Linked DNA regions of Caenorhabditis elegans. The protein of the gene in region 1 interacts with the protein of each later gene in a pairwise test. Each region holds a gene or a part of one and is shown on either strand. Other genes may lie near its edges.

Evidence for each region. Proteins that work in one complex are often made in the same cells at the same time.
Region 2: the proteins of etfb-1 (region 1) and gip-1 interact in a two-hybrid assay, tested with the Caenorhabditis elegans proteins (one large-scale study listed by BioGRID).

What each region holds. Positions count from the first base shown.
Region 1 is NC_003279.8:2,417,905-2,422,004, forward strand, and holds etfb-1 (Electron transfer flavoprotein subunit beta), read right to left. Parts: upstream 2,450-4,100; 5' UTR 2,443-2,449; coding exon 2,395-2,442; intron 2,135-2,394; coding exon 1,667-2,134; intron 945-1,666; coding exon 693-944; 3' UTR 557-692; downstream 1-556. Other genes in the region: F23C8.13 (PDZ domain-containing protein), read left to right, coding at 467-553; did-2 (Charged multivesicular body protein 1b), read right to left, coding at 3,058-3,534, 3,595-3,701, 3,760-3,793.
Region 2 is NC_003281.10:2,345,695-2,350,651, forward strand, and holds the start of gip-1 (Gamma tubulin complex component protein N-terminal domain-containing protein), read left to right. Parts: upstream 1-1,896; 5' UTR 1,897-1,900; coding exon 1,901-1,973; intron 1,974-2,942; coding exon 2,943-3,035; intron 3,036-3,084; coding exon 3,085-3,342; intron 3,343-4,552; coding exon 4,553-4,757; intron 4,758-4,957. Other genes in the region: phf-5 (PHD finger-like domain-containing protein 5A), read left to right, coding at 720-887.

The DNA.
Region 1 (4,100 bases):
CAAATATGCTGCGCTGTACGCATTCTCAGAATGTGTGAGTTTCCGTAATACTATAAAGTGCAATTGCGCTCCACGGACAAATCTCCACCCCAAACCGTTGGGTCTCGTTAGGAATTGGCGGGAAAACCGTTTTTGCCAATTTTCCAGCATTTTTCGCTGTTTTCAATGAGTTTTTTTTTGTCAAAATTGAAAAAGTTAATGTCATAATCATTTTTAACCATAATTTCGGCATAAAAACATAAAAAATAACGAAAAATGCTTGAAAACGGGTAAAATCGTCGGAAGTAATCGTTATTTCGACCTAAAACTTATAAAAAATATGAAAAAAAGCTTAAAAATTGGCAAGAATAATGTAAAACATTTGAATTTCCCGTCTTGCCGCCAAATATTTACCTAACGAGACCCATCGTTTAGGGGCGGGGCGCGTAATTTTTCGCGCCCAGATAATAATCCGTAATATTTCCAGATCTACCTACACCAATTCTCCCATGGTTTTGTGAACAATGCATTCCGTTTTTTGATCGTTTCCCGTTCAAGCTATTCACTTTTATGAACAAAAATAATTTTTCATACTTTTTTAAACCTGCATCACATAAAACATTGAATAGAAAAAATAATAAAAATAATTTAAATACAAAATTTTCTGATTCGACTACTACAATAATTCAGCGGCGGAAGAGGTTATCGGGGGCTTAAGCCTTGACGAATCCCTTCTCCTTGAGCTTGGCGACAAGTGCCGAGACATCGTCGACGAATCCTCCGGCCTGGCGAACTGGTGGCTCGGTGACTTCAAGAGTTTCAGTTTGTGGTGTGATATCTACATTCAGATCTTTGATTGGAATGTTCTTCAGTGGCTTCTTCTTGGCCTTCATGATGTTTGGAAGAGTCGCGTAGCGGGGCTCGTTGAGGCGAAGATCGGCGGATAGGACGAATGGCACTTTGACCTGGAAAATAGAAAATTTTTCGAATAAAACTTTAGATCCGTGAATTTTGCAAACAAAATAGCGGCGCGCAGAAATAGGGGCGGGGCGTTATTTTGCAACCTTGCGGCACGGTTTTTCCTCCTTTTTTCGCTTTTTCAATTTTTCATGTTTTAATCTCCTTTTTTTTCGAATAAGAACGTTATTTAATTAACTATCAAAATTTATTAATCGATCCTTGAATTTTGCAAGAAATTTTGTCGCCCAGAAAGTGGGGCGGGGCATAGCTTTTGCAACACTGCCGCACGGGGTTTGCCTCCGCCCCTTTTCTACTGCTTTTAAGCTTTTCTTGTTGATTTTTTCAATAATTTCTTTTTTTTTCGAATGAAAATCCAATTCGAAAAAAAAGAGAAAAATCGAAACTTTATTGAAAAAATCAACAAAAAAAGCAGTGGAAAAGGGGCGGAGACAAACCCCGTGCGGCAGTGTTGCGTAAGCTACGCTCCGCCCCACTTTCTGTGCGACAAATTTTTGCAAAATTTAAGGATCGATTAATAAATTTTGATTTTAAATTAAATAACGTTCTCATTCGAAAAAAGAGATTAAAACATGAAAAATTGAAAAAATCAAACAAAAAACAAGCGGAAAAAGGAAAAACCGTGCCGCAGGGTTGCAATATCAAGCCCCGTCTCGCGTTCTGTGCGGGGCTGCTTTTCACGGCTATCGATCGATATAGTAAGAATCACCTTAATCGTGTCAAGACCTCCATCAATTTCACGGGTGACCTTCATGTGTCCAGCGCCTGCGTCTTCAACCTTCGACGCGTAGAGAGCCTGTGGCCACTCGAGCAGGCCAGCGAGAATCGGAGCAGTTTGCGACGAATCATCATCGATTGCCTGCTTTCCGAGAAAAACCGCGTCGAACTTCTCCTGCTCGACAATCTTCTGAAGCGCCTTCGCCACGTGGAATGACTCGAGCTTGCCAGCTTCGGCGTCGGTCACCTGAACGTGAACTGCCTTGTCGGCGCCCTTCGCCAACGCGGTCCGGAGCACTTCGGCGGATTTTGGTCCGCCGAGCGAGAACGCGACGACTTCGGTGGCGAGCTTCTTCTCCTTGAGCTTGACGGCCTCCTCTAAAGCGATCTCGTCGAATGGATTCATGCTGTGTTGAACTCCTTCGGTGACGACTCCCGAGCGGTCCGGCTTGACACGGATCTGGAAATTTTGGGCTTTTATAGAATCGAAATGTGTCTAAAATCTCCAATTTATCCAAGTTTTCCGTGTCACAGCGGTTGGAAATCAGCTTTTATTGCCAATTTTAATCGATTTTCCGTTGATTGGGGTACACTTTGAGCCAAAAATGACAAAAAACTGATTTCCAACTGCTGCGACACGGAAAAGTTGGTGAAATTCAAGATTTTCGCCGAAATTAAGCTGTTTTTTCGAATTTTTTGCTCTTTTTCCTGAAATCCTACCTTGACAGCATAGTCGACAACTCTCTTGACTCCGACGAGAATCTTCATCGCTTGGCTGGAAGAAAAACTGGGAATAAATTTATTTATTTATTAATAAATGAAGAAATGATCGAAAAAAACAGCGGCGGCGGGGTCAAAGTACACACTTCAGAGTTCAGAATTTGATTTTTAAATTTGAATCAATTAATTAAAGCCGAAATTCGAAATTTTAGCCGAAAAATGTTTAAAATAGCTTTAAAACTGCCACGTTTTTCCTTAAAAACCTTCGAAAATTCCGTTTTTTATAGAAAATTCGTGAAAAATAAGAATAAAAATAATAAAACAAGTGATGAGAGAGATAAGACGATGTGGAGAGAGAGTGTGGGAAGACGAGAGACGCAGAGAATGAAACGCGGGCGGTGATTGTTGTGGCCTACACGTAAGCGACCGATTTGTAGAAAAAATGTTCTGAAAAATAAAAGAATAAATATTTCGAAGAAGACATGAGCTGAACTTCGTAGATCTAGATAGATTAGATAAAACAAAAAAAAAGCAGAAAAATTGTTGCTTCATTATTGAGAGAAATGTTGTATATACAAGAAAAAAAGCAGTATCTTAATTTTAAAAATGAAACCGTCAGCAGAATATTCATATTCACAGAAATTTCTTGAGAAATCTGGAAGATCACATGTTGCGAAGAGCAGCCAGGCGTTCTGTGAGGTCCTTGTCTTCTGAAACAGCTTGCGTCCCGGTCGGCAGAGCAGTTGGCACGTTTGACGGAAGCTCCTGGTTGAGCTCGATGCCTGCCTTGTCGGCGGCCTCTGCAATCAGAGCATCCACCTGTGACTTCGGAGCATTCAACACTGTCGTTCCGTCCATCGTCTTTTCCATCGTCTTTGTGGTCACGTCGAGATCTTCGAAATCTCTTTCGAATCTATCCATCAACTGTTGAACTTTCTCGAGATTCATGCTCTTCATGGCGCTTTCCATGGCTTTCACTACGCCGCTCATGCTGGCGGTTACTCGTTTTTGTGTGGCGGCGGTTTGAACTCGGGCGGCCACTGCGTCGATTCTGGCGGCCATTTTAATGTAGTTCACTGCTTCATTCTTCTTCCTGATCGCATTTTCAGCATGAACCTGTGCGACTTCTTTGTTTCCTTTCTGGAAAAAATCGAATTTAAAAAATAATTGTTTTTTTTTTCATTTTTAATTATTTTTTACCTTAATAGCTGCCGTCAGCTTGTCTTTCTCGACCTTTTCATCCTTCTCGCATCGTTGAGCATTCTTTTCCAACTGTTTCGCTGCGAATTTAAGATCAAATAAGTGTTCTGGAAGATAAAAACATGAAAATAAGTCAAAATCAAGAGAAATCAATTTGAAACTCACTTTCCAAGGCCATACTGCTTTCTCCGGCTCCCATGATGATTTTATGTGTATTAAGCTGGTATTTGAGTTTCTGAAATACGAGAATTACGGTGAGAAAGTGCTTTTATAAGTTAAATTTCGCAAGAAAGCGATAAAAACAAATTCATGAGTCATGTGTGTGTATCTGCGGACTTTACGTCATAAACGACGACACTTGATGTCCGCAAGCAGCGGATCTTACGACAATTTTGGGTTGTAGAAATTTCTGTATTTTAAGTCGGTTTCAGGCTATAAAACACAAAATTATCAACGTCAAAAATATTTCCAGATCCGCTATATGAATTTGAAAAAATTAACATCGT
Region 2 (4,957 bases), on another chromosome or scaffold:
ATAAATTTTTAATTTTTAATCTGAAAATTCCCGTGAAAAATGGGAAAATTTTCGAATTTTTCATGTTTTTTCGACTAAAAAGTCGAAAATTTTGTGAAATTTCTCGAAAAAATTGAAGTTTTCTCAATTTTCCAGCTTTTCCCCCTCAAAATGCTCCAATTTTCAGGATATTTTCATATATATTTTTTTTTTTTTTTTTTTTTTTTTTAAATTGTGAAAAACGTTGAAAAGTTCACTTTGGAAAAAGAAAAATATGGAAAAATTCAAATTTTCCACTAAAAATTGACATTATTTGCGGAAATTACCAGCTTTTCGGCGTAAAAAACGCTAAATTTGTCAGTTTTCCGCAAAAAATGCTCGAAAATCCAAAATTTTGTGAAATTTCTCTCAAAAAACGCGTGAAAAACGCTATTCAAAAAAGTGCAATTTTCAGCTTTTTTTTACTAATTTTTTCTTTAAAAAATTCAAATTTTTGACTGGATTTCTTCAAATTCTCCATTAAAAACGGGTTTTTACTCAGAAAAGAGGGGAAAAACCAGGAAAATTGAAAAATTTTCATATTTTTCGACTGAAAAATGCAAAATTTTGTGAAATTTCTCTCAAAAAACGAGTGAAAAACGGCAAAATTTACAAATTTTTCTAAAAAAAAATCGGAAAAACGCGAAATTTTCATGTTTTTTTTCGGCTAAAAATTAAAATTTCCATTTTTTTTTTTGCAGGGTCGGTGTGTGATTTGTGGTGGCGCTGGCGTCAGTGATGCATATTATTGCAAAGAATGCACAATTCTCGAAAAGGATCGTGACGGATGCCCGAAAATTGTGAATTTGGGAAGTGCGAAGACGGATTTGTTCTACGAACGAAAGAAATTCGGATCGAAAAAGTCGTAGAAATTGGCTTTTTGGCGGCGAAAATGAGCGAAAAATCACAAAATTTCGCCGAATTTTCACCTATATCACCTCTAATTTATCAAAAATGTTCCAATTTTCTGTTAATTTCCACTTTTTTCCGCTGAAAATTCCTATTTTTCTTGAAATCTGACTGAAATTTGGCTAAAAATGAGCTGGAAATATCGAAATTTGGCTGAAATCGTAAAATTCCCTTTTTGTTCCCTGAAAATTGAGCAAAAATGTCAAAATTTTGGCATTTTTGACCAAATTTTGCCTATTTTTGTGAAAATTTGCCTTTTTTTTTCGTTGTTTTTATCGAAATTTTGCTGAAATCGCGATTTTTTCCACTATTTTTCCCTAAAACATCCCTTTTTTACTGGAAATTTGGGCAACATTTTGGCATTTTTGCCTATTTTTGTGAAAATGTTACCATTTTATTGAAAAATTAGCTTAAAATGACAATATTTTCCTAAAAATTTCGAATTTCCGTGAAAAATAGCCAAAATGTCACTTATTTCAGTTAAAAATATGCCATTTCCCTGAAATTTGGCTGAAAATTCGCCTATTTTCACTTAAAATTCCGCAAAAAGCCCTTTTTTTCACTCAAAATGTTCAATTTTTCCCTGAAATTTGCCTGAAAAATCGATATTTTCACTCATTTTCACCTTAAAAATTGTCTTTTTCCCCCATTTTTTCCAATTTTCCTCTACCCTTTTATCAATTTTCGAATAAATTATCGATTTTTCTGTAATTTTTCCCTTTTTTTGCTGTGTTGTGCTGGTTTTGTTACCTATTTGTGTATATTTATCTCTATTTTTTACGGGAATTTTCAGTTTTCCCCGAATTTTTCTGAATTAAAATCACTAAAAATCGATTTTTCTTCCTGAAAATTGGGTAATTTTGCGAGAAATTTAATTTTTGTTTAAAAAAAAACTAAAATCTGAATATTTTTTGGAGAAAATTAACCAAAAACTTGAAATTTTATGAAAAAAAAATGGAAAAATTTCAGATAAATGCGTCGACAAGGCAGCGAAGAAGTTGAAGCTGTACAGCAATTTTTAAATGCTTTCGGGTTTCATGATAGAGGTAATTGGATTGAATTTTAGAAGAAAAAACACCGAAAAAGCCGAAAAATTGACTGAAAAATCGAATTTCTGACGAAAAAATGAGATTTTCCATAAAATATCAATAATTTCAAGTAAATATTCGAATTTCGAGGGGTACGGTAGCACCAAAAGTACGCAAACACTGTGGTACACCAAATCTTACGACATTTTGCAGAAAAACTCCTGAAATTATAATAAGAGTTCAGATTTTTTTCATCAAAAGAATATATTGGTGGCCGAACTCCTTGGATTTTTTTAGGCCACGATTTTCTGAGCCAAAAATTTTATTTTGAATTTTTCGTTCAAATCTCGTTTTTTACTAGAGAAACTCCAATTTCGGCTTTTTTTCTCTTGGTTGCCTAACTTTTTTTTTAGATTTCTAGGCCACCCATTAAAAATAGACCGTTTTATTTGATTTTCTACATAAAAACGGGGATTTTGAATTTTGAATAATTCAAATTTTAAAACCAAAATTTTAATTTTAAGTCTTTTTTTTTTTTGAGATATTTGAAATTTTCTAGACGGTTTTTTGGTGATGAATCGGTTTTTATTAGAATTTCAACTATAAAAACCGAATTCTAGTCAGTTTTTGGATTTAAAATCAATTGGTGGCCGAACTTGTTGGATTTCTAGGCTACCAAACTTCTGAACATTTTCCCCTGTGACTCTTGTGCCTCTATTCGTATTGATTGCAGTAAAAACGGGTATTTATTCACATTTTTAGCCTTAAATTGGCTTAAAATGTGAATAAATACCGTATTTCTGCAAACAATTTGACAATAGAGCACATTTGTCACTTGGAGATGCGGAAGCTATGCCCAAATTTTCATTTTCAAGCCGAAAAACTTGTGAATTTTCGCGATTTTTGCACAAAAAAAACCATTTTCAGCCGATTTTTCCGTAGAAAAACGGATTTTTAATCAAAATTTTGCAATTTTCTGTATTTCAGATGTGATAAAAGTTCAAGAAGGGCTATTCCACAGCCGTCAGCTCAACGATGTGAACGCTTCGAGAACATGTGTAGATCAATTTGTTAAGAAATGTATGAAATTCCAGGGAAAAAACCAAAAAAAAAAGCGGCAGTTTTCCAGGCGAACTTCGTGATCCGAACGGAATAAAACCGCTTCGCAAAAAAATCGATGCTCTGATGAACGAATCGGTAGAAATGAATTATATGATGGATTTTCTTGTGAGATGTCGACAGGCTCACTTATTTCATAATGAAACAATAAGAAATAGTCCGAGTATTGGTCTGGGATCCATTGGAGGTACCCCGACCAATTCGATTCCATCCTCATCGCCGTTTCAAAGAAGATCTGCAAGTCGTGGACGGGTGCTCAGCACGCTGAGTTCGGTGTTTTACCGGTTTTAGCCGCGAAAAATTGTGAAAAAACGGAGCAAATATCACTGAAAAGTCGATAATTTATTTGAAAATTGACATTTATTTTCATTAAAAATTCGAAAAATTAGACATTTTCGGTCAAATTTGACCTGAATTTTATAAAAATATTTTTTTTCTCCTTAAAAGTTGAAGATTGTGCTTATTTTTGTTCGATTTTCGAGAAAAAATGCTGAAATAAAACCTACAAAAATGTGGAAAATTGAAAAAAAAAAGTTTTTTTTTTCATTAATTTTCAATAGAAAAAAAAACGAAATTTTTGCCATGATTAAGTGGCCGAACTTTTTGGATTTCTAGGCCACCAGTCGGAAAACTCGGATTTTTAGAAATTTTTTATTAAATTTCTAATTCTCAAGCAACAATTATTGCGTTTTTTTTCATTAATTTTTTTTTAATTTTTGAGGCTTTTTTTTGGCGAAGAGTCGCTTTTTAATCGAATTTTGAATATAAAAACTGAATTCTATGTGGTTTTTGGATTTAAAATCATTCGGTGGCCGAACTCTTTGGATTTCTAGGCCACAAAATTTTTGAACTATTTTCCCCTGTGACTTATGTGCCTCTACTCGTTTTTTTTTGTTTGCACTAAAAACTGTATTTATTCACATTTTCATCCTCAAATTGGGCTGAAAATGTGAATAAATACCGTATTTCTGCCAACAATTTGACAATAGAGCACATTTGTCACTCGGAGATGCGGAAGCTATGCCCAAATTTTCATTTTTCACCCGATTTTTAGCATATTTTTGGGGTTTTGATGGATTTTAAGTGTTGAAATCGGTTTCAGCTAAGAAATTTTCGGTGACCGATCTTTATGGAATTCTAGGCCACCAAGCTGATTTTGAGCCAAAAAGCTATGCTCAAATTTTTATTTTCGCAATAAGATTTGCAATTTTCCATAGAATCATTCCACAAAAATCAAATTTTGAGCAAATCCCCAAACACTGTGGCCTAACTTTTTGCAAGTTTTTAGGCCACCCATTAGAACTTTGGCGTTTTTTCTCGAATTTTCTACAAATTTCTATGTAAAAATGTATTGAAATTGAGAAAAACTACAAATTCAAGCCTATTTTCGCTTTAAAAATCATGAAAAATCATTTTTTTTTAATTGGAAATTCACAGAAAATTGGCGAATTTTTCCATAAAACTAGTGAATTTTCCAGCCGGAGACCAACAAACTCCATCAATTGCCGATTCATCGTCTCGTTCTCGTGCCAATTCCTCATTTACTGCCTATGACAATCGAATGCTTGGAATGGAACGCCAATTGGCTGGAAATATGGCTCAACGGCCACGGAGTCCGTATACAATTAATGGAATACCAACTACGAGGGTTCAGCCGATTAGCGCCAGCAATCAGCTTTTTACGTGCGTAATTTTCGAGAAAATTTGAGGAAATTTGGTTGAAAATACCGAATTCACCGCTAATTTTCACCCCTAGCACACTTTTTCCGGGTTACTGTAGCTTTAAAAGTACGCCAACACCAGATCTAACGACATTTTTCAGAAAATCGCGAAAAAATGAGTTTTTGTGATTAAAAATGGCTCAAATTTTCAAGTTTTTTGAA